6 linked regions of the Sus scrofa genome follow. The protein of the gene in region 1 interacts with the protein of each later gene in a pairwise test. Links are inferred from orthologs where the notes say so. Each region holds a gene or a part of one and is shown in the gene's direction. Other genes may lie near its edges. The genes, in order: MAL2, PTPN9, NDRG4, ARFIP2, SH3GL1 and TPD52.

Region 1 (3,500 bases):
CTCTTAGCGCTGCCCGTCCGCATCTTCTCAAGACTGACCCCATGCCCTGGACCAGCCTTCTCTGCCTCTGCTCCTCCCCCAGCCCTGTCCTTTGGGTTGTTGCTTCTAGGGAGTATTTTCAGACTTTTCAAATCTGGATTTAGAGCCCTCACCGCGTGGACTTGCAGGGCCCAGTATTTGCCCATTTGTGATGTGTGTGAAGCAGCGGTTTTGTCCCTTGGTTCATTTTCTCTTTCCTATAAGAGACTGTGACTTCTGTGATGGCCAAGGCCATTGTTTACCATTTCCTTCCTAGCACCTGGCACCGTAGGTATTTAGGGAATGTTATATCTGTGACTATCTGAAGGGCCCACGCCTGTGCCCAACACACAGAAGAGTATCAGCAAATGGTGGAAGATTTGTATTGTTTCTGATCATGTACAGTGGCTACAGCTATTCTGTATATGGGCAATCATCTCACCTGTACAAATAGGTCATAGTAAGGACGGAAACATGCTCACTAGAAGTGACAGGTTAGAACGTCATGGCTAATCTTTGCTAAGAGCCTTTCTGAGGAGTGGTGAAAGCAGAAGCCAGTGGACAGTGGGTTGAAGCGTACCAGCGAGGGGAGGAGGTGGAGAGCAAGCAGAGATGGATTTGTAAAAATGGTGGGCTGAAAAAAAAACATCCTTAGAGAGGGCAGTGGAGATTTTCAAAAGAAAATTGTGTTGGACGGTGAGAGAGTGCTGGACCTGTCATGGGTGGAGGGCGAGTCCCACGGAAAAGCAGGCGTAGAACTAGGTGTAGAGTCAGATCAGGCCCAAGAGCAGAAGCGCTGGCTCGCACCTGCGAGAAGGCATCTCGAGTGGTGATGGAGAAAGGTCTCTGGCCAGCTTGCGGGAACACATGCAGGGGTCCGGGAGAAGCCAAGGCAGCACCCAAGCATGTTCAGTTCTGTGGCCCAGACTGATTACTGTCTTTCTCTTTTCCTTTAGGTGTTGGGGGGACTCGTGTGGATCCTAGTCGCCTCCTCCAATGTTCCTCTACCTCTGTTGCAAGGATGGGTCATGTTCGTGTCTGTGACAGCTTTTGTCTGCTCCCTCCTCTTCCTGGGCGTGTTCCTCTCTGGCGTGGTGACTCAGATTAATGCCAACTGGAACTTCCTGGTAAGGGATTTTTAAATGTCTTTCAGGAAAATGGGAGAAACTTATACATATCTCATTCCTTTTTTTTTTTTTTTTTTTTTGGCTTTTTTAGGGGCCACACCTGCATCATATGGAAGTTCCCAAGCTAGGGGTCGAATTGGAGCTTTAGCTGACAGCCTACGCCACAGCCACAGTAACTGGGGATTCAAGCCATGTCTGCGACCCATACCACAGCTCACGGCAACGCCGGATCCTTAACCCACTGAGCAAGACTAGGGATCAAACCTGCATCCTCAAGGATCCTAGTTGGGTTTGTTAACCATTGAGCCATGAAGGGAACTCCCTATGCATATCTCATTCTGTCCTGAAAAGCCAGACAGAATGTCCCCTGTTCTGTCTGTTGCCTCTAGTGGGAGAGGAAAGCTGTCCCCTATTCTTTCTGTTGCCTCTAGTGCGAGTGGAAAGGTCAGGCCCCGGGGACCGACCACAGTGCTGACATGTGGCCGGCCTTGCTGGACAGCAGGGTCCCAGACTGTAAAATGCCTGTGCTGACAGAGCTGAGCAATCTCTCTGTTACTCCTTTATGAGTTAGATGACCTTTCTGCAAAGACTGTTTTATTTCATACAACAAACGAATCTCATTACAGTTATTGAACTATCGAACGCATGCCTTTGGGAGATGGATGCTGTGATGTATCTTAACATTTTCCATCGATTCCAGCTTCAGATATAAAATACATATATTCTTTTCAGAAAACAAGCAGCTCCATATTCTACCCTCCAAATCCTTAGAAAAGGAGAGGGGATATTTTATCTTTCAGTGCCTGTTCTAGATTAGCAAGAATTGATACGTTTTAAGAATAAATTTGCAATCAACACCATTTTTCAAACTATGACACCATTACATTGGATCAATGTATTTTCCCTTTTTCCCATATAATATAGGGAGCCTCTTTCACGCGTGTGGTTATTCACTGGCCCTATGGAGCATGAATTCCAATCCGTGGTGGAAAGCGCTTTAATGGAGTTCATGAAGAACTGCCATTAGGTGGTTAGAAACTTAAATCAGACCTTTATTCCAACTTTATGGATGTTCCTTTCAAGTGTGGTAGCATTTTATTCAACATGGAGGAAGGTATGTGTTCTTGACTGACTTATAGAGCGTAAGGAGAACCATCATCCCAAAGGGTATCAGCAGTGAAGTCTAGAGCGTGGCTGCCCATCCATCAGCCCACAGCAGGTGGCGTGGGTGAGAGTACAGCCAAGGAGGAAGCATAGTGCACTGGTTACAACCATCCACAGGCCTTGGGGTTAATCTGGTTTGCTTAATAACCCTGTAGCCTTGGGCAAAATGTTAAACCTCATTTCCTCCTCTGTAAAATGGTAGTAATGATACCAACCTCACCAGATGCTATTAAGGAATAACGGGATTCATGTTTTGTAGAGATGCTCGGCTTGTGTCTGATTTCAAGGAAGTGATCAGTAATCATCATAGCTCTTTAAACACACTGAGACTTGCAGTTTCACACTTTGAAAGTTCTTCTGTTTCTTAGGCTGCTGATGCAATGTATGTCTACATTTTGGCCTCGATTTCTCATTAGCAAGGAGAAAATATTTCTAATAATTGGTCAAGTGACAAAGGTCAAAGATCCCTGTTTAAGTTACACATAGTTGCTTTATCTCTTTCTAAATGCCTGGCTTTCTGATAATAATGCATGAATGAATCAGTCAATCCCTGATGTTGGTAAGTGCCACCAGGTTCTTTTCCTTTCAGGCTTGAAGATGGTATTTGGCCCATATGTACCAGTAGCACAGCCCTCTGATACTTTGCCAGTAGTTACTACATAGCCATGGCCCCAGCCTACTGCCTCTTTCTAAGTCCTCTGCTCCCCCTTCCCCTGGCCCTTTCTTGGAGAATTTCCTGGACCTCCTATAGCTCAGGAACTAAGGCATTCATGTCTGTAAAAGTAACAAGTCTCCAGGATCCTGCCATCCTCAGTATTCTTTCTAACTGGTTGATGTATACCCATTACCAATGTTTAAATATTCTTCTTTTTTTTGTTTGTTTTTTTTTTAGGGCTGCACTCATGCCATATGGAGGTTCCCAGGCTCAGGGTCCAACTGGAGCTGTAGCTGCCAGTCTACACCAGAGCCACAGCAAGGTGGGATCCAAGCCTCATCTGTGACCTAAACCACAGCTTATGATAACACCGGATTCTTAACCCACTGAGCAAGGCCAGGGATGGAACCCGAGTCCTCATGGATGCTAGTCGGGTTCGCTAACTGCTGAGCCACGATGGGAACTCCAAAATATTTTTCCAAGTATCACTCCTGGTTTTACTACATATATCTGTATCCTCTTTTTTCCTTCTATTT
Region 2 (3,500 bases), on another chromosome or scaffold:
GCTCAGGAAAAAAAAAAAAGTTTTTGTTTGAAAGTGCAGCACTGTGCTGACAGTAAAAATCATAGAGATTTAACATGATCAGGGAATTATAATCACAGAAAAAGGGTAAGGAAATACTCATTTCTTATCAAAATTTCCTTCAAGATCTTCTTTCAGATCTTCAGGAAGACTTGATAATCTTTAGGGTATCTCTTACTAGTTAGCTAAAATTACTGAACTCTTTCTCAGTCATTAAATGGGTCCAGATCAAATAATTCAAAGCCCACGCTTTTAAACATGGGAATTCCAGCACACTCATTTATAATTCTGAGGTATCCCCCATCTGTTCCTCCATAACATCATTACTTTTAAAGGTAAATCAGCTTTTTTTTTTTTTTTTTTAACTTTTAGGGCCGCTCCTGCGGTATATAGAGGTTCCCGGGCTAGGGGTGGAATCAGAACTACAGCTGCAAGCCTATACCACAGGCACAGCAATGCCAGATCTGTAACCCACTGAGCAAGGCCAGGATCAAACCTGCAACCTCATGGATCCTAGTCGGATTCGTTTCTGCTGTGCCACGACGGGAAGTCCAAAGGTGAATCAGCTTTTAATTTCTCTCAGAAAACTTTTTCTCTGGCTACTGAAGTGAAACTTGAATTAGGCTGTAGACTCCCTCTTCTGGTTAAGAATGGGAAGAAGAGCAGAAAACCTAAACTTTGGACTTGGAACAGTCACAGGTCCCACTAAGCACTGTTGCAGGGCCCTGGTTGGTATCTTTAAATCCTTGTATGTATTCTCCGCAGGGAGCTTTTCCAGCTCGTTTGAAGAAAGTGCTGATTGTGGGGGCACCCATTTGGTTCCGAGTGCCCTACTCCATCATCAGCCTCCTTCTGAAGGACAAAGTCCGGGAGAGGGTAAGGCAAGCTGACTTTTATTTTATTTGGAGGTGGGATAGATACATTACCATCTATAGTGCTGATACTTGCCAATTAATATTCCGCCTTCAAAAAACCTTCCTGGCTTGTTTCCTAGAATGCTTTTTGCTTCTGTTAGTCCATTCACTTATATTCTCTGTTTTATTCTTTACTCAGTTCAGTACAGGTTGCAAGTTCCTTGAAGTTAGGACCTAAACTTAATTTGGGTACTTCCCCTCTATAGCACCTTGCATGCAGATAGTACTGATGGAACCTGTCTCCAGGGTAACTTAGAGATAGCAACTTCTTTCAAAATTTAGTCTCGGGCTCTACAGGTGTTTAATATTTAACAATTTCTAATACAATTGCATTAGTCGAACTGGTGTTTGAATTTGTTCAGCTGGAAATATCATTCCAGGGTAGTGGAGGAGAGTCTCAGACTATATCTATTCCTGGCATTTTCTCTTAAAACAACTTGTAGCTTCTTAAAACTTCAAAAGTGTTCTCTAAAGTTATCTTAATGCCATTATCATTCCTTGAGTATTCCAGGACTGAAAGATTGTGGTTTCAATCACTTATTCACTCATTTCTTACCCTTAAAGGGCATATGAAACATTGATATAATGAAATAAGGTAATAACACTGTTGGGTTTTTTAGTGTGAGATTAGGTGATTATATGAGTAATAACCTATCTTTCATATCTTTGTAGCTGAGACCACCTAGGTTGGAGAGGGGAAACTAAAGCCATTTGGTTTTGTGGAAGCTTCTTAGGGACCTATTGACCCCAAGTAGAAGAGGTCTTTCCTAAGACAACTCTTTGAGAGGACTGCTTAGACAGGTTCTTACATTTGAATTATATACAAGTATTGGAGTTCCTGTTGTGGTGCTGTGGAAACAAATCCGACTAGGAACCATGAGGTTGAGAGTTCAATCCCTGGCCTCACTCAGTGGGTTAAGGATCCGGCGTTGCCGTGAGCTGTGGTGTATGTCACAGACACAGCTCAGCTCTGGTGTTGCTGTGGCTGTGGTGTAGGCCCGCAGCTGTAGCTTCAATTAGACCCCTAGCCTGGGAACTTCCATATACCATGGGTGTGGCCCTAAAAAGACAAAAAAAAAAAAAAAAAAAAAAAAAAAAAAGGAAGGTAAAAAGAAAAATGAATTATATACAAGTATCCATGCATGTGTAAACTCAAACTACATTGAGCACTTTTACAGTCCAGGCTCTGGGCTCTGGAAATTAATAGTTGAGTGAAATGGTCCTTACTCTTGAGGAACTCATGGTCCTGAAAGGGAACACAGACATATGCAGAGTACTGTGGTTCTGCAGGAACATAGAGAAGAATGTTGCCTTGGACAGTTAGTGGGGGCTTCAGAGAAGGGGTAAACTATAAACTGAGCTTGGAAGAGACCAAAGAGGTAAAGTGGACATTTGAGGAAGAGGCAACAGCAAGCGAGGGAAACATTCCTATTCCACATGAGAACCAACTAGGCTTGTTTTGTCCAATATGACTGTGTCTAAGCAGAGGGTGAAATTAGGTATTACAGTTACTTCTTCAGCATTTTTCCTGGGTTACACTGCCTCTTGGTGGCTGGCCTTGTCTTGCTTTCATAGAAACCTATCTCTGAGGGGAGTTCCCATTGTGGCGCAGTGGTTAACGAATCTGACTAGGAACCATGAGGTTGCGGGTTCGGTCCCTGCCCTTGCTCAGTGGGTTGTTAACGATCCAGCGTTGCCGTGAGCTGTGGTGTAGGTTGCAGACACGGCTCGGATCCCGGGTTGCTGTGGCTCTGGTGTAGGCTGGTGGTTACAGCTCCGATTCGACCCCTAGCCTGGGAACCTCCATATGCCACGGGAGTGGCCCAAGAAATAGCAAAAAGACAAAAAAAATAAATTAAAAAAAAAAAAAAAAAAGAAACCCATCTCTGAGAACATCCATACCTAGCTGTGAGTAAAGCACAAACTAACAGTCTTAGAATTGGTTGCCTTAGTATGGAGTTGACAAAAATAACCACTTCCTTTGCATCATTAGTTGTCAAAAAGGCAAGTAATGGAGTTCCCGCTGTGGCACAGCCCGTTAAGAATTGGCATCGTCTCTGTGGTGGTGCGGGTTCAATCCTGGCCTGGCGTAGTGGGTTTAAGGATCTGGTATTGCTTGCTCCTGCAGCTTGGATTTGATCCCTGGCTGTGGAACTTCCACATTTTGCAAGTACAGCCAAAAAAGGAAAGAAAACAAAGAGGTGGTTACCTGTGTGAGAGTACTGGAAAGTCTTATAAACAGTATAAAGGCTTTGTTCACTATACCTACCTACCTTTATATAAGGTATATAACAGGGACCCTAATTCCAGGAATGAATTTACTAATGCATTCTGGGAAGTCAAACCTTTTCTGAGAAATTCATAGGACTTCAGTCCCAAACAGATGAAATGCAGCAGTCTGCTTCTTTTACAAATATACCAGGTGTTGCAAGCAAATCTTATTTCATTCTCCAAAGCACTTTTGTTCTTCATCTTGACTATCTGTATGTTCCCCTCCCTCCCCACATACTCACATGGTTTTTCCTGGCCTTCCAGATTCAGATTTTAAAGACGTCTGAGGTCACCCAG
Region 3 (4,194 bases), on another chromosome or scaffold:
TCTGTCACCACTGGCCTCTCCTCATCATCTCCTTTACAAAGGAGGACATTGAGAGGCAAGATTCCCCAAAGTGAGCCCCAGAGTTGTAAGGAGAACCCAAGCTTGCTGCCTCCAAGCAGGAATGTGCAACCCATCCCCACCCACCAAATTTTACCAGCTTCCTAAACATTAGTTAATTCAAGGTCATGGCAGCTTCCAGGGAAACCTGGGGCTGAGGAAAATCTGGGTCCTCACCCCAAACCAGCCCAGGTAAAAGTCCAGTGAAGGGGGAAGAGACAAGAGCCTCTTGACTGCTCAGCCCACTGGCCATGCGGGACGGCCCAGATGTCCTGGTCGGACGCAGTCACTCAGCACAGGAAAGGCTGGAATCAGGAGTGGCAGAACCCCGCCTAAGGTCAGTGGCAGGGCCTGAAGACAGCCTCGGTGTCCAGCAGCCCTCCTCTTGAGCTGTCTTTGCCCAAGTAAAATTTTTCGGGTCCTCACATTTCCGTTCTCCCCACTAAGATTCCAGCCAGGCGCTCTCACACTTTTCGGGTGACAGCAACAGCACTGGGCCGGATGGGAGTGAGCCCGAGGACGATGCGGGTCCCTAGTTCCCTTTCCTGCTCGCTCCGATAACGGAGGGTGAATGGAGGGGAGCAGGGACCTCGCCACATTTCGGGGGAGGGGGTACCCAGAACACCTTTGGGCGGAGTCACTCCTGCATGAGCTCGCCAAGGAAACTCTTGGGCTCTAAAAATGGGAGACATGCTGCCTGAGCACCTGGCGCTTCCTGACCTCCCCCCCCACCCCGGAGCATTTCCCCAGGGGTTCCCAGCTGGCACCAGGGGCAGAGGAGGAGGAGAGTGCAGTCTCCTTCGGGCTGAGGTTCCCCTCGGGAATCTAAACAAAGACTGAGACAGAGGGCCACCCCCTCCCTCGAGAGCCCGACGACGCGCGCGGCTACCGGGGACTGGCGGGGCGGGCGGCGCCTCCCACCGCACCCGACACCCTCCGAGCGGCTGGGACCCTTCTCCCGACGCCTCCACCAGGTGAGGAGCGGGTTGATCGGCCCGGGGTCTCGGCTAGGCTTCGGAGCCGCCGCTTCCCGCTCGCCTGCCCACCCACTGGGCACTCCACCCGCGGCGGGAGGGAGGCGGAGGCTGAGCGCCCAGGCCCGCCTCCCGGGTCCAGCCCCCAGGCCGGGCCCAGCGCCCACGTCCCCGGCGCCCACGTGGGCACGCCCCCCGCGGCGCACCACCCCCGGCCCGGCCTCCGCCCCCGGCAGTGGAGGCTCTGTGGAGGGGCCCCGGGCTGCCTGCACCTGCACGCGAGCGTTGGCGGCTGCGGCGCCGAGGCCCCGCTCCCCGCCTGCGCGTCTGACTTGCTCGCATCACCCTCGGTGAGTTGGAGGCGCCCCTGGGCCCATCTTCCCCTGATCCCACAGCCACTGCGGCCCGCGGCCAGCTCCCCACCCCCGCGCAGCCCCTGCCCACGACCTAGACCCACGGGCCTGCCGCCTTGTCCCTGGGCCACGCTTCACCTACGAGGGCGGTACCCCCTCCCCACCCCACTCCACCCCGCCCGAGCTCATCCTCCTCGCTTTCCCGGTCAGACTCGAGGACCCCAAGGACCACGGCCTCGCTACCGCCTCCCAAACCGCGACATCGGGGATGGCCTGGCCTCTTTGTTCGGGCGGAGGGCCCAGGTGCCCCCTCCTCCGCCTTGTGAAGTGTCACCCGCACCCACCCCCGCGCTCCTTCCGCCTCCCAGAGTTCACCCCGACCAGGTGGCGGCGGGCGCCTTTTAGGGGTGCGCGGTGGTGCAATTGGTGGATTTTTTTAAACCGGTTTGGAGGGGGGAGCGCGGCGTAGGGGGCGGCGAGAGCGCTCTCGGCTCCCGGCTGCTCCTCCTGCTGCGCTCCTCGCTCCTGCTGCCCCCCTCGCCTCCGGCGCTCCTCTCCCCAGCTCGGCCGAGCGCACTCCCCAGACGCCGTAGCCCCGAGCCGGGCAGCGCCGGGCGCCGCCGAGATGAAGGTGCTAGGACACAAGATCGAGCTGCTGACAGGTACCGCCGGCCCTTCCCCGCCGGCGCCCCTTGGCGCGGCCCTCGCCACCCGCTACTTTTGGAGTTGTAGCTGGAGCAGGGTGCGGAGCGAGGTTTTGAGGGGGTTCAGGTTCGAGCAAGAGGAGGGTTTTTGCGAATACCAGCTAATTCCTAGCTTCTGCGCTGCAGGTTCCCGAGCGGAGCCCAGCCTGGGAGAGGACTTGGGCGGTGCCTTGCCCGGCTTTGCTCTCTGAGTCCCGGTGTCCTGGTGGTAGAGCAATTGGGAGGCAGAGCGAGGGTCAAGGGAGGAGCCCCTGGGGTCTCCGACTAGCCAAGCTCTATTCAAGTCCCAGAAAGGGGAAAGGAATCTTAGAGCGCCTGCCCTTCAATCAATGTGGCTTGGTGCCCCCCAAGAAAGGAGCTCCCTGGACTCCCAACAGGACCTCTGCTGTGCACCTCTCATTTCCTGCTCCCTGTGACAATCCGAGCGCCTCTCCGAGGAGAAGTTACTTCCTGGGAGTAGAGGCCAAGGAGCCAGGAGAGTTGCAAGCCAGATTGGTCCCTGATGACTGGGGACCTTCAGCCTTTGGACTCCTCTGAAGTGGCCAGACATCCTGCTGGAAACCATATCCAGGATGCTGTGCTGCAGGGTCCTGGGTCTGCCCAGACACGAGGCAGGACAGAGGACAAGGGGTCTGGAGAGTGGAGATGCTCTCCCAGGCGGGAAGGGCGGATGGTACAGGTGGCCTCTGTGGTCCCCCCCCCTCCCCGCCCCGGGAAGAGGCGTAGACAGACCTAGACAGGAGGATGGGAGCTAGGAAAGGGAAACAGTCGGGAAGTCGAGATCCCACTGGGTCCTGGGCTGTGGAGGTGCTCGATCGGTGTGTGCTGGATGGACACGTGGATTCTGGTAACTGTGCACCGGGGCAGTTTGGTCCCTGACCTGGAGCACATTCCCACCTGGTACAAGGGAACAGGGCCCAGGAACCCTGTTTCAAGACAGGAAAGGGGACGGCAGTGTGGGGATGCACCCAGGAAGCAGGTCGGAGTCTGAGTGGGGGAACAGAAGGGGAGCAAATAGATGTGAGCACACGGCAGCTTCTGAACTGGACCCTAAAAGACAGAATTTCTATTAATGGAGAGGGAGGTGGCATTACAGGTGAAGGACCGGCACATGCAGAGGCTCTGGGACGTGAGAGAGGCTTGGACTGGGAGTGATGTGGTGTGAGGCAAGCAGAGGCTGGAGGGGCTGGACTCTGTGTGATGGGGTGGGGGGTGGGGTGAAGTTTCTGGCTGTGAGTTAAAGTAACAGCGGCCACCCCTGGGCTCAGGCCAGGCTCTCAGAGACGGGAAGGTGGGCGGTGTTCCTGGAGCATTGGAAACACTGGCCAGGTGCTCAGAAGTGCCAGATCTGAGCCCAGTTAGCCACGGGGCCGGCATGGCCTCCAATCCTTTCCCTATAGAGCTCACTTGAGGCTCACTTGACTGCAAAGACCACACGACTGAGGGGTGGCTGAACTTGCTGATCTCCCGGAGGGAAAGTTTTCGCCACCCAGGGGTTTTTAGAGCCCTGCATGCAGGATGGAGCTCCTGGATGCTTCCCCTTCTCCTCTCCCAACCCAGAAGGGCCTGGAGGAGGGGTGTTCGTGGGAGACACGTGCAGGGGGGGGGGGAGGTGCTCCAGTGGGGTCCACTGTACCCTCATATTCTGGGCACAGGAGTTAAGGCCCCTCCTCCCTCATCAGACAGGCTCCTCCTGTTCTGGCGACTCTCTAAGCCCCTGGCCAGGCTGCAGCAGGACTCTCTCAGTCACTGTCGTTCGTCTCAGGCTCCTACTGTGCATCCCCTCAGGGGTCTTTGCAGCCTTCCCCGCTTTCTCCAGCTGGTTCCCATCCTCTTCCTCGTCCCTTGGATCTGGGTTCAAATCCCAGCCTTGCTACTGTCGGCTGTGTGATTTCACAGAGGTGGCCTAACCTCTCTGATGTCAGCTTTCTCATCTTAGAGATGGAACTGTTGACCCCTCCCTCCGAGAGCTGGCGTGAGGCTCACCGAGATGACATAAGTGACACACTCAGATGGGGCCTGGCCTTGGTGGTTGCCTCTTGGGCCACACCTCCCCTCAGATTCCTTGGTCATGGCTGTCCCTAGGATGGAGGGAGGACTCCACCT
Region 4 (3,943 bases), on another chromosome or scaffold:
CACGAACCAGCGTCTTGTTGCCAATTTTAAAGCTGTACCCACAGACCTTCCTTTAACCAGGTGCCTGGGAATGCTGAGGTTTTCCTTCCACACACAGAAGGCAACTTCTCCCTGCCCAGAATATCAACCGCACAGATTACAGCAGGTTTATTAGCTCCAGGAAAAGGAGCAACAGTACCTAGCTCTCAGGCAACTCCTCATTCTCTACATACAGGCTCCATCTTGCCCAAGGTCCACTGCTCCTTCAACGTGAGGGTCCATCCAGTGCCTCCCTTCTCAGCGTTGAGGACAGCTAGCTGCCAGATGGCGAGGCTTCTGGCTGTTCAGCAGCAACACCTGGCACAGCTGAGGCAGCCTCGTAGTCAGCGATGCGGCGCTGTACCAGGGCAGGCATGAGCTGCACGTAAGCGGCCATGAGGCGGTGGTTGGAATGGATCAGCTTCCCGGCACAGCTGTGCAGACAGGCCTCCTGGAAGGAAGACAGGGTGGAAGTAGAAGCCAAAGGTGTCCAGTCAGGTCCGTTTCCCTCCTTCCCATCCCCAGCCTCAGGGCGGAGGTCGTGGGAAGCCAGGGCCGGACGTAGGGGAATTGACGGGAGAGGGAAGCAGTGCACGGTTAGCTCTGAGGCTCGAGGAGCACTTCCCTACTCAGTTCCCCCACCTAACCTCCTCGGCATCCAGAGCTCGGTGATGCAGGCTGGGCACGCAGCGCTGGAAGCAGAGTTCCGTCATCCGATTGTAGACCAACAGGAAGTCCCGCAACTGGGGAGGAAGGGGGACAAGGAACTCAGCGAAGAGGGGGCCACGTCTCAACTCAAGGCCGCGCTGCCGGCGCTTTCCCAGGACCGTGTACCACGGCCCGTGGTTCCCAGCCCTTGGATGCCTGGCTCTCTGGGGTTTCCGCCATGCGAACAGGGATGCTAGCTGGATGCAGGGCCCTTAAGCGACTTAGCTCCCACTCACGTTTCTCAGCTGCTGCTGCTGCTGCTGTTGCTGTTCCATCACGCCGCCGGCGCACAACCTACGTCACTTCCGTTACAGCTTCTAGGGAACGCCCCGGAAGTGACCTCAATGGCTCCCCAGGGGCAGAGGGGTTGGCTCAAGGAGCGCCCGCCCACCTCCCCGCGACGTCACTTCCGCCCTCATAATCGGCTACGTGGCCGGCTTCTTCTGCCCGGGAGAGGACGTCACTTCCGCCGAGTCCCTGACCTGCTGCTAGGATCGCGACGGGAACTGGATCCCGAGATCCCCGCGCGGCCCGGGCCTGGCGCCCTGAGGGGAAGAGCGGCCCGGCCCGAGGTGAGAGGGACGTGCATGGGCGAGGGCAAGGTGAACGCACGAACCTGACCTGAGGGCAAGATGCTTCTGAGCCCTGGGAAAGGATGAGGACACACCTGACGCCCAGGTGTATGGGGGGAGGGCGGAGACTCACACACCTGGGGAGACCTAACTGACTTTGGAAGGGATCACCTCCCTATGTCCTGGGGCAAAGGGACTTTTCCCCGGGGTCGGGAACTTACACCAACTGATTCAACTAAGGCCTGGGGCGGGGGTGGGGGCAGGAAGAGGGGGTGCATGGGATGGAGGAGGGGGAGACCACCTGCAGGAAAGAGGAGGAGACATTAGAGGAGTGTGAAAGGCCAAACAATGGCGAACATACCTGAACGGGGATAGGCACCTGAGCGCTGGGAAAGGGATTGTCTCCTGATGAGGAGGAATACCTGCGTGGGGATAAGCTGCTTGAGAGCACAGGCTTTCTCTCCATTGCCTCAAATAGTGCGTGGCATGTAGTAGGCACTCATTAAATGTCTGTGGAAGGACTGAATGCATGAATGATCCCTGGACTGCTGGGGGGGTGGGGGTGGGGGGGTCATGAGAACATGACCTCTGGTCAGGCACACCTGAGGCCTGGGTGCCTGTGTGTAAAACTTTGCACCTTGGAAGGGAGAAAGACAAAGCCCCGAGGGAAGAGTGGTGGGCAGACCCCACCACACTGAAGCCCCGGGACGGCCTCTGCAAGGGCAGGGGAGACCTTCCTCTTCGGAGAACTGGCCCGTTTCCAGAACTGTCTGTGTTGGGCTTTGCAGGGCGCTGGGGTGGAGACTTTGACTCCAGTCCCTTCGCTCGCCATGACGGACGGGATCCTAGGGAAGGCAGCCACAATGGAGATCCCCATCCACGGGAATGGTGACGCGGGGCAGCTTCCTGAGGATGATGGGCTGGAGCAGGTGCTTCTGTTTGATTCTTCACATTGTTTCAGTTGAGGAATCCCAACTCTTAAACCCTGAGCTCTCTCCTTCTTCCAGTAGCCTTCCCCCAACTCACCTGATTTCCTTCAGTCTTTTTACCAATCTTTGTTCTGATTCTGTGCAGACTTCCCTTGTGTGCTCTCTCTATGATGCTTCAATCCAAGCTTGTTTTCACCCCCAAAATGCTTCAGCTGCCCATATGTTCCTGAAGCCCCCCTCTTCTCTGGCCTATAGGACCTCCAGCAGGTGATGGTGTCAGGACCCAACCTCAATGAAACCAGCATTGTGTCTGGTGGCTATGGGGGCTCTGGTGATGGACTCATCCCCACAGGTATGAATGATCAGAGCAGGATAGGGCATTGAGTGGAGAGGGGAAGAGGACTGGCTCCAGGGGGCATAGGATACGTCTAAGAAGGCGTGAATCATGTCTGGAGCTCGTGGGAACCTCTGCCAGGATGAACCCGCGGGCATCTCAGCCCAAGGCCCGTTCCCAGGGGTGTCCATCTGCCTCCACTTGCCACTTTGTCCCTCAGATATGCCCACTTGTCCCTTCTCTGCCGTCACTACCTGAGTCAGGCAGAGAACTCTGTTCACCAGGCCTCCCCTGCTCTGGAGCTTGAATCTGATTTGGAGCTTTGAGAGGCTTATCAGAGTCTTACGTTAGACTCTGCTATTTAGAGGAACAAGCAGCCCTGAATCTCGCAGTGACTGGGATCCACATGGGAATGTCAGCCAGGTGTTCGGTTCGAGGGGCGCCCAGCCATGGTCAGCGACCCCATTCTCAGCCTAGTCTCCGCTGTTTCCTCTGCCCCTGCACACGAGCAACCCCTCCCACCTCCCTTTCCAGTCCTCACCTCCACGTCAAAAGGAGGCCAGGTGTATGTTGGGATTGGGTCTCAGGGTCCAAGGCATGAATTCCTCCTAGTGAGTCTCCAGCCCTGCTCCTTCCGGGGCGTCATTTTCATGTGCTGGGAGGGAAGTGTGGGTGGAACCACAGAGGCGTCGGATTGTGTCTGAGAGAGGCTGGTGTCAGAGAACTTGGTCCTTTAGGGTCTGGCCGCCATCCATCTCACAGCGCCCCTCCTGCTGGCCCCGGGGATGAGGTGGCCCGGGGCATCGCTGGAGAGAAGTTCGACATCGTCAAGAAATGGGGCATCAACACGTATAAGGTGGGATTCACGCACCTCCTCCGCCCCCTGAGCTCCCCCGGGTACCTCTTCCCCATCTTGCGGATCCTCCTGTCCCATCATCTCGGGCTGAGACTTGGAGTCTGGGGACGCCGGGGTAGACACTTGCTGCGGGGCAGGGCCGGGCGCCAGGGTCTCTGACCTGTTCCCCCACTTCCCACTCAGTGCACAAAGCAGCTGTTATCAGAGCGGTTTGGCCGAGGCTCCCGGACTGTGGACCTGGAGCTAGAGCTGCAAATTGAGCTGCTGCGTGAGACGAAGCGCAAGTATGAGAGTGTCCTGCAGCTGGGCCGGGCCCTGACAGCCCACCTCTACAGCCTGCTGCAGACCCAGCATGCACTGGGGGATGCCTTTGCTGACCTCAGCCAGAAGTCCCCAGAGCTTCAGGTGCCTTGGGCAGGCCAGAGGGGGAGGGGGGCCTGGGCCCGGGGCCCTCCCAGGCAGTCACCCCTCAGCCTCCCTCCTCCCTCCCTCCTGCAGCCCAGAGGGAGAACCCCTCCAGGGTGGG
Region 5 (3,500 bases), on another chromosome or scaffold:
TGAGGGCGGCCCTGCACATAGATGCCTGTGGAGCTGTCAGGGCTCCCAGGGGAGGCAGAAAGGTGACACTCCTGGGGGGCTGGAAGAGGCTATGGGGTCTGCCTGTGCCCTTGCCCCTCAGGGGACATGGTGCCTGCCAGCAGGGGCTGCTCCCTGGGAGCACCTGTGCTCCCTGCACTGAGCAGGCCCTCGGCCCGGAAGGTGTGGTTTTTGAGCCCTGGCGCCTCGGCTGCCCTTTGAGTTCACCAGAAGAGTCTAGTCTCACGTCAGGCAGCTAACTCATTTCCCTCTGTGGCAACCACCGAAGCTGAGAACGTCCTGTTTTACCATAATCAAAAGAAGTGAAACCATGCCATGAAATAAAGTGGAACGCCCTAAAAACACCTAGGAGAGACCAGTGTCTTTCCTTATAAAGTCAGAACCAGGAGGGCAGCCCCTGCCTACCTTGGAGGTCCCTCAAAGGCTGGGGCATGACTGAGTGGGCCCTGAGCCAGCCCTGCTTCCTTCCTGTGCCCCCACCGCAGGGTCTCATCTCTCATCTGTGCCCCCCACCCCATCCCCTCCTAGGCTCCTGACACGTAGCCATTGTGAGAACACTTGACTCACAGGGACATGCAGGTTCGGGGTGACAAAGACCTGTAGGCCAGGCCTGCCCTGCAGTTCTGTGCTCCACTTGGAGGACCAAGATGCCCAGGGAGAATAACAGCAGTCATGGGTGTGGGCAGGGGGAGTACCCTGAGCACACATGCGCATGCAGCGCCCACGAAGCCTGGCCACAGCCCTACGAGTGCACACCTGTCACTCCACTTTATAGAAGCAAAAACTGAGGCCCAGCGAGGCTGATTGCCCAAGACCACACAGATAGAAGGCAGTGGACCAGTTGTTGAACGATAGTGGTCCGACACTCCTGTCAGCTGGTGGGCCCCTTGGTGCCCTTAGCCCCGGGAGCTGTCCTCACAGGTGGCTGCCAGGAAGTTTCATGTGCATGGGTTCACACACATGCTCACACACATGCATGAAAAGTCACTTCCAGGCACCACAGTAGTTGGCTTCTGTCGGGCAGGTCTTTCCCTCTTGCTCAGCGCTTGTCCCACACGCAGTCTGCATGTTTGTTCAGCCTCGGAACCTGCTTGCCTCTCGGGGCGCCCCTGGGGAATGCAGACCCACAGTCCGAGATTCCTTCCCAGAGAGGCAGGACTTCAGGGTCACGGTTCCCTGAATGAAAGGGCTTCTGTGAGCATGGGTGCCTCAGCCCTGTGAGAGGACATCACTGGGCCATGGTTGGGCCCAGGCAGGTCTGCACAACCCAGAGACTGGGGAACATTGTGGAGCCGCCATTGCGGCATAACAAGGTAGCTCGGCCAGGGACGGCTTCCAGCAGGAAGAGCCCCCTGCCCTGGGTTTCCAGGAGCATGCAGATTTGGGGGGGGTGGGTATCGTTCAGCCCCTCATTTTGCCATTGGCTGCCACATTCAGTCTCCCTGGGAAGCCATGGTAGATGTCCTGAGCCCCTGCCCTGCTTCCCTTCAGTGGACAGGGCAGGAAGGCATCCTGGAGTCTCCTCCCCTGAGGCTCACACACTTTTCCTCCTTTGTCCCCCAGCTGGTCAGCGAGAAGGTCGGAGGGGCTGAAGGGACCAAGCTTGACGATGACTTCAAGGAGATGGAGAAGGTAATGGGAGAGGTGGTGCCCGTCTCATGCCTGGCAGTGTTACCAACCCCCATAGGGCCTGCCCCTGACAGCTGGCGGGAGGCCAGGCTCACCAGGAGGGTCTAGGCGGGTCACAGGGCTCCCCTAGTCCTGGGCAGGCAGTGGTGAGGGCATAGCATGGCCAACAACACGGAGGCCAGGGAGCCCCCAGAAGCAGCGGGCAGTTCTTGTGTGGGCTCTAAGCAGGGCAAGAGCTGTCCAGGGGCTCCTGGTTTGGCCTCGGGTGCCCCGGCAGTTTCAAAACCCCACACATGGCCTCTCTCTACAGAAGGTGGATGTTACCAGCAAGGCTGTGACAGAAGTGTTGGCCAGAACCATCGAGTACCTGCAGCCCAACCCAGGTAGGGGCCAGCCTGCTGTGAGGGGTCTGACCCCAACTCTTTGAGCTCTCTGTCGGGAATCTTCCAGTCACCAGAACATGAAGAAGGAATGTATGGGCCCACAGAATTGAGATGCCCAGGGATAGGCAGGTTCAGGCATGGCTGGATCCAGGCATCCAAAGGATGTCCTCAGGGCCCTGCCTTTCCCTTCTGTGTCATCTGTCAGCTCTCATTTCTCACAACAGTCCTAGCCTTAAACTGTCCTTACAGCTAATGGTCCCAGTAGAAAGAGTATCTTTTTACCCCCACCTAACCCAATTTGAATCAAGTATCAGGCCCCAGCCACATGCCTACCTTTGGAGCATGAGGTGGGGCCTTCTCCCCAAGGAAAATCCAAATTCTGGTTTGCAGTGAAAGGTGACAGATGCAGGACAGCAGCAAAGGCAGCAGTGTCCCCTGAGGCCTGTGCCGGGACAGACTGGAGCTAGCAGAGGCTCAGGCACAGCACACACACCCCTACCCCCCTCTGGGCAGAGACCTGTGCTGGGGCCACCTGTACCTGTCTGCACCTACACCTACCTGCCCTGCTTCTCTGGGGGCCTCAAGGAGCCAGTCACCTCTCCTGACCACTGCCAGTGCTCCTTTGTGCACGTGAGAGCAGAGGAGGGGAAGTCTGTTCAGGGGTTCTTCTCATATTCCTGTTCCTCAGCCCAAGGGAGTGCTTTAGAAATAAATACCCAGGCAGAGGTGGGTAGCTGGTGGTACTGGCAAGCACAGGCCTGGTGGCTCAAGAGACCACCTGCACACCCACCCGGTCCGTCCTCTTCCAGCCTCTCGGGCCAAGCTGACGATGCTCAACACGGTGTCCAAGATCCGTGGGCAGGTGAAGAACCCCGGCTACCCGCAGTCAGAAGGCCTGCTGGGCGAGTGCATGATCCGCCACGGGAAGGAGCTGGGTGGCGAGTCCAACTTCGGTGAGGCCGAGGGAAGGCTGGAGTGGGGAGGGCCTGAGAACATGGGGCAACAGCATCTCTGCGCAGCGGGCAGGCTGGCCCTTCCCCCATAGCTCCAAGGTCTTCTCCAGGGCTGGCTAGTCCTCTGGACGAGGGCGGTGAAGCTCCTGAGAAAGCCCCTCTGGTCCACAACAGGTGCTGCCTACAGTATCATGGCTGTGGGGAGGCCACCCTCCCACCACAGCTGGGTCAGGGCAGACCTGGGTGCCTTTGAAGAGGTGGGAAGGTAGCTTGTGAACACCCATCATCACCAGCCCCTGTGGCTCTGTGTCAGATTTCAGGGTCCCTTGTTCTCAATTCTGGCGTCCAGGTCCTTGGCATGGGGTATCTCAACCCTAGGGGCCAAGGCCTCCTGTGACAGCTTCCTCCCCCAGGTGATGCCCTGCTGGACGCCGGGGAGTCCATGAAGCGCCTGGCTGAGGTGAAGGACTCCCTGGACATAGAGGTCAAGCAGAAC
Region 6 (3,500 bases), about 37 Mb from region 1:
GTTCCTCCCAGGTAGAAGAAGAAATCCAGACCCTGTCTCAAGTGTTAGCAGCAAAAGAGAAGCATCTAGCGGAGATCAAGCGAAAACTTGGGATCAATTCACTACAGGAACTAAAACAGAACCTTGCCAAAGGGTGGCAGGATGTGACGGCCACATCAGCGTAGGTTCCCTTGATCCTACATTTTTCTAGGGAGGGGACAGAAAGGGAATGAGGACATTTCTGCAGCTTTTTTCTGTCCTGTGCAGGGCACTTCGCCCCAGTTCTCAAGTGTACCTGACTCTTCTTTAAGTGTGGTCTTTCCAGCTGTTCTAGGGAATAGAAAAAAAAAAAAAATAGCTTTACATGTGAGTTGAAGATATAAAATCTGAGTTCTGAAAATGTTATATATTGACTTGCTAGATATATACATGTATCACTTAGTCCTCAGAATAACCTGATAGAGAGGATGGTGAGGTAGCCATAGATAATGAAACAGAATCAGGAAGGTTTTTTTTTTCTTCAACGGCCGCACCCATGGCTTATGGAAGTTGCCGGGCCAGGGATTGAATCGGAGCTGCAGCTGCAGGCTTACACCACAGCCACAGCCACACCAGACCTGAGCAAAATTAGCAACCTACACCAGAGCTTGTGGCAATGCTGGATCCTTAATCCACGGAGTGAGGCCAGGGAAGAAACCTGCATGCTCACAGAGACAATGTTGGGTCCTTAACCTATGAGCCACAATGAAAACTCCCAGGATCAGATATGTTTTGAGGTTACAAACCTTTCAGTGTGTGGAGGTAGGATTTGAACTCATCTCTGGCCAAGTACAGAGCCAGTCTTTTTTACCCTGCTCTGAACATGGCTTAGGACTCCCAAGTCTATGATGTGTGATAGTGGCAGAGGTCCACCCCATAATCTTTTGGTCTTTTTCATCACACAGTTTTTTGTTTGTTTCTTTGTTTTTGCTTTTTAGGGATGCACCCTCCACATATGAAGGTTCCCAGACTAGGGGTCGAATTGGAGCTGTAGCTGCTGGCCTACAACACAGCCACAGCCACAACAACACCGGATCTGAGCCATGTCACCATGTCAGCAACCTATACTAGAGCTCATGGCAATGCCGGATCCTTAACCCACTGAGCGAGGCCAGATCCATACTTAACGCATTGAGTAAGGCCAGGGATTGAACCCGCAACCGGAACCCATAACCTCATGGTTCCTAGTCGGATTTGTTTCTACTGCTCCACAACAAGAACTCCCCTCATCGCACAGTTTGGATATGGTATTATCATGATGCAGTTTTGTTTCTAGGCACAAGGAAGAGCAGGCTTCTAGTAACAACCTCTGACTGTTCAGTCCCATCTTCTGAGCTGGTGACCAGCAGCAGGGGTTGACTGCATCCTGACATGACAGCACCAGGGTGCCCAACCTCTTTGGTCCACTTTCTCCTTATATAAGTAGGCAGTAGGGAGATATATATATAGGACAGTGTTCTTTGTATCATCACAAACTGGAATTTTTAAAGTATTGGATCTTGATGGGTGGAGTTCCTGTTGCGGAGCAGCAGAAACGAATCCGACTAGGAAACATGAGGTTTCGGGTTCGATCCCTGGCCTCCCTCACTGGGTTAAGGATCCAGCATTGCTGTGAGCTGTGGTGTAGGTCGTGGATACAGCTTGGATCTGGTGTTGATGTGGCTGTGGTGTAGGCCAGCAGCTGTAGTTCCAATTCGACCCCTAGCCTGGGAACCTCCATATGTTGCAGGTGCAGCCCTCAAAAGACCAAAGACAAAAAATAAACAAACAAAAAAACCAAAAAAAAAAGATCTTGATGGGTAAGTAAAAATGCCTGAGCATCCCTTTATATAAAGTGGGGACCTTAACCTCTTGGGTGTCATGTAAGTACCATATTCTTTTGTTTGTTCTAGATTTTTCCCTTCACCAATCCCTGCAATGATGGCTTGAAGAGGGAAGTGGTAAATTATACCTTTGTGTTATAGCCCATATCCCACTTGAATTATTTGGAGTATTCTATCTTTTACATCTTCTGTTGATAATCCACCAATTATTTGGTAGCTCCGCAGATAGGCAAAATTGAAAAAAAAAATCTTCATGCCCCGAGAACTTATTTGCATAATAAAAAGTACACATGGGGAGTTCCCTGGTGGCTCAGTGGCTTAAGGATCTGGTGTTATTACTGCTGTGGCTCTGGTTACAGCTGTGGCACCAGTTTGATCCCTGGGCGGGGAACTGCCACTGGATGAAACAAAAAACAACAACAAAAAAAAGTATGCATGGGCCCTACTTTGCTTCTGGCCCCTTTTTAGGAGATGAAGTTGGGAAAGGCATGTGAGGAATTTGATTTCAGTTTTGTTTTGTTTGGCTCCAGTGGAAAAGGAAAAAAGTAAGAGGTGTAATTTCATTCAGACTCTGGCTCATTTTGATCTTTGCTCCATGAGTATTTTTAGCCCTTCCCCTGATTTCTTTGGCCCTGTCTTTATAGACCTCTGTCCTTCTGGCTTTCCTGGGGCACTGCAGAAGATTGTGTCTGAGGTGATGGTTAGATGGAAGATGATGTGATGATGCTTACCTGGTGGTTGTGAAGAAGATTTCTAAAAATCCAAGAGGTGGTGATTACTGAACTCTAAATAATTGCTATTAGAAAGGTTATTAGCTTACTTTTCTTTGCTCTTTTCTTTTCTAATTTAATATAGATACAAGAAGACATCTGAAACTTTATCTCAGGCTGGACAGAAAGCTTCAGCTGCTTTTTCGTCTGTTGGATCAGTCATCACCAAAAAGCTGGAAGACGTCAAGTATGTCCCCATTTTTCCTTGCTTATGTAAACTGAGGCAAATGAAAATCAGTTATCATGGTTGAGGTGGGTTCCTGCCTGGTTCTGCCTGATGCTGGACCCTCTTTCAAACCAGGACCTGAGGGAGTTCCTGTCGTGGCTCAGTGGAAGCAAATTTGATTAGTATCCACAAGGTTGTGGGTTCGATCCCTGGCCTTGCTCAGTGGGTTATGGATCCGGCGTTGCAATGAGCTGTGGTGTAGGTTGCAGACTTGCTCAGATCTGGCGTGGCTGTGGCTGTGGTGTAGGCCAGCAGCTACAGCTCTGATTTGACCTCTAGCAGACAAAAAACAAACAAAGAAAAAAACAGGACCTGAAATATTTCCTTAAATTCTAACGGGCCTAGTCTTCAAACTGATTGTCCTCTGAATGCATTTAAGGATGTTGAAAAATTCTGGTTGTGAACTTTTGTCCTTTTAGCCCTTGTTGATCACAGGGTAAGTATGTCTCTCAGGGTTGCAGACTTGTGATTGTGGGCTGAGCTTGGGGTCTGATGGGGGTGAGTCTGGGAGCCCTGAGCGCACGCTTGGACTGAGTCCTGCCTTTGCTTCTGGTGGCACATCTTTATCTCACCATGTGCTTCCAACATGCTCATTTGTGTACTGATTCGTACCATCTATGTTCATGCCAAGGCCCAAATCGTGATTTTTGAGCTGTTGTTGCT

The links.
Region 2: the proteins of MAL2 (region 1) and PTPN9 interact in binary tests that used the Homo sapiens proteins (3 or more experiments, as listed by UniProt). The two-hybrid records come from large-scale screens. The link is inferred for Sus scrofa from reciprocal best matches to the Homo sapiens genes MAL2 and PTPN9.
Region 3: the proteins of MAL2 (region 1) and NDRG4 interact in binary tests that used the Homo sapiens proteins (3 or more experiments, as listed by UniProt). The two-hybrid records come from large-scale screens. The link is inferred for Sus scrofa from reciprocal best matches to the Homo sapiens genes MAL2 and NDRG4.
Region 4: the proteins of MAL2 (region 1) and ARFIP2 interact in binary tests that used the Homo sapiens proteins (3 or more experiments, as listed by UniProt). The two-hybrid records come from large-scale screens. The link is inferred for Sus scrofa from reciprocal best matches to the Homo sapiens genes MAL2 and ARFIP2.
Region 5: the proteins of MAL2 (region 1) and SH3GL1 interact in binary tests that used the Homo sapiens proteins (3 or more experiments, as listed by UniProt). The two-hybrid records come from large-scale screens. The link is inferred for Sus scrofa from reciprocal best matches to the Homo sapiens genes MAL2 and SH3GL1.
Region 6: the proteins of MAL2 (region 1) and TPD52 interact in a two-hybrid assay, tested with the Homo sapiens proteins (2 studies listed by BioGRID and IntAct). The link is inferred for Sus scrofa from reciprocal best matches to the Homo sapiens genes MAL2 and TPD52.

The regions. Positions count from the first base shown.
Region 1 is NC_010446.5:19,600,672-19,604,171, reverse strand, and holds part of MAL2 (protein MAL2), read left to right. Parts: intron 1-974; coding exon 975-1,145; intron 1,146-3,500. UniProt on the Homo sapiens protein: Member of the machinery of polarized transport. Required for the indirect transcytotic route at the step of the egress of the transcytosing cargo from perinuclear endosomes in order for it to travel to the apical surface via a raft-dependent pathway.
Region 2 is NC_010449.5:58,137,176-58,140,675, forward strand, and holds part of PTPN9 (tyrosine-protein phosphatase non-receptor type 9), read left to right. Parts: intron 1-783; coding exon 784-894; intron 895-3,467; coding exon 3,468-3,500. UniProt on the Homo sapiens protein: Protein-tyrosine phosphatase that could participate in the transfer of hydrophobic ligands or in functions of the Golgi apparatus.
Region 3 is NC_010448.4:20,222,039-20,226,232, forward strand, and holds the start of NDRG4 (protein NDRG4), read left to right. Parts: upstream 1-1,394; 5' UTR 1,395-2,009; coding exon 2,010-2,046; intron 2,047-4,194. UniProt on the Homo sapiens protein: Contributes to the maintenance of intracerebral BDNF levels within the normal range, which is necessary for the preservation of spatial learning and the resistance to neuronal cell death caused by ischemic stress.
Region 4 is NC_010451.4:3,248,868-3,252,810, forward strand, and holds the start of ARFIP2 (arfaptin-2), read left to right. Parts: upstream 1-1,143; 5' UTR 1,144-1,298; intron 1,299-2,086; 5' UTR 2,087-2,128; coding exon 2,129-2,227; intron 2,228-2,482; coding exon 2,483-2,579; intron 2,580-3,298; coding exon 3,299-3,417; intron 3,418-3,600; coding exon 3,601-3,822; intron 3,823-3,943. Other genes in the region: TIMM10B (mitochondrial import inner membrane translocase subunit Tim10 B), read right to left, coding at 293-469, 666-761, 963-1,001. UniProt on the Homo sapiens protein: Plays a role in constitutive metalloproteinase (MMP) secretion from the trans Golgi network. May have important functions during vesicle biogenesis at certain cargo subdomains, which could be predominantly utilized by secreted MMPs, such as MMP7 and MMP2.
Region 5 is NC_010444.4:74,438,458-74,441,957, forward strand, and holds part of SH3GL1 (endophilin-A2), read left to right. Parts: intron 1-1,602; coding exon 1,603-1,671; intron 1,672-1,978; coding exon 1,979-2,051; intron 2,052-2,860; coding exon 2,861-3,004; intron 3,005-3,417; coding exon 3,418-3,500. UniProt on the Homo sapiens protein: Implicated in endocytosis. May recruit other proteins to membranes with high curvature.
Region 6 is NC_010446.5:56,581,113-56,584,612, forward strand, and holds part of TPD52 (tumor protein D52), read left to right. Parts: intron 1-11; coding exon 12-160; intron 161-2,696; coding exon 2,697-2,798; exon of another isoform or gene 2,799-3,500.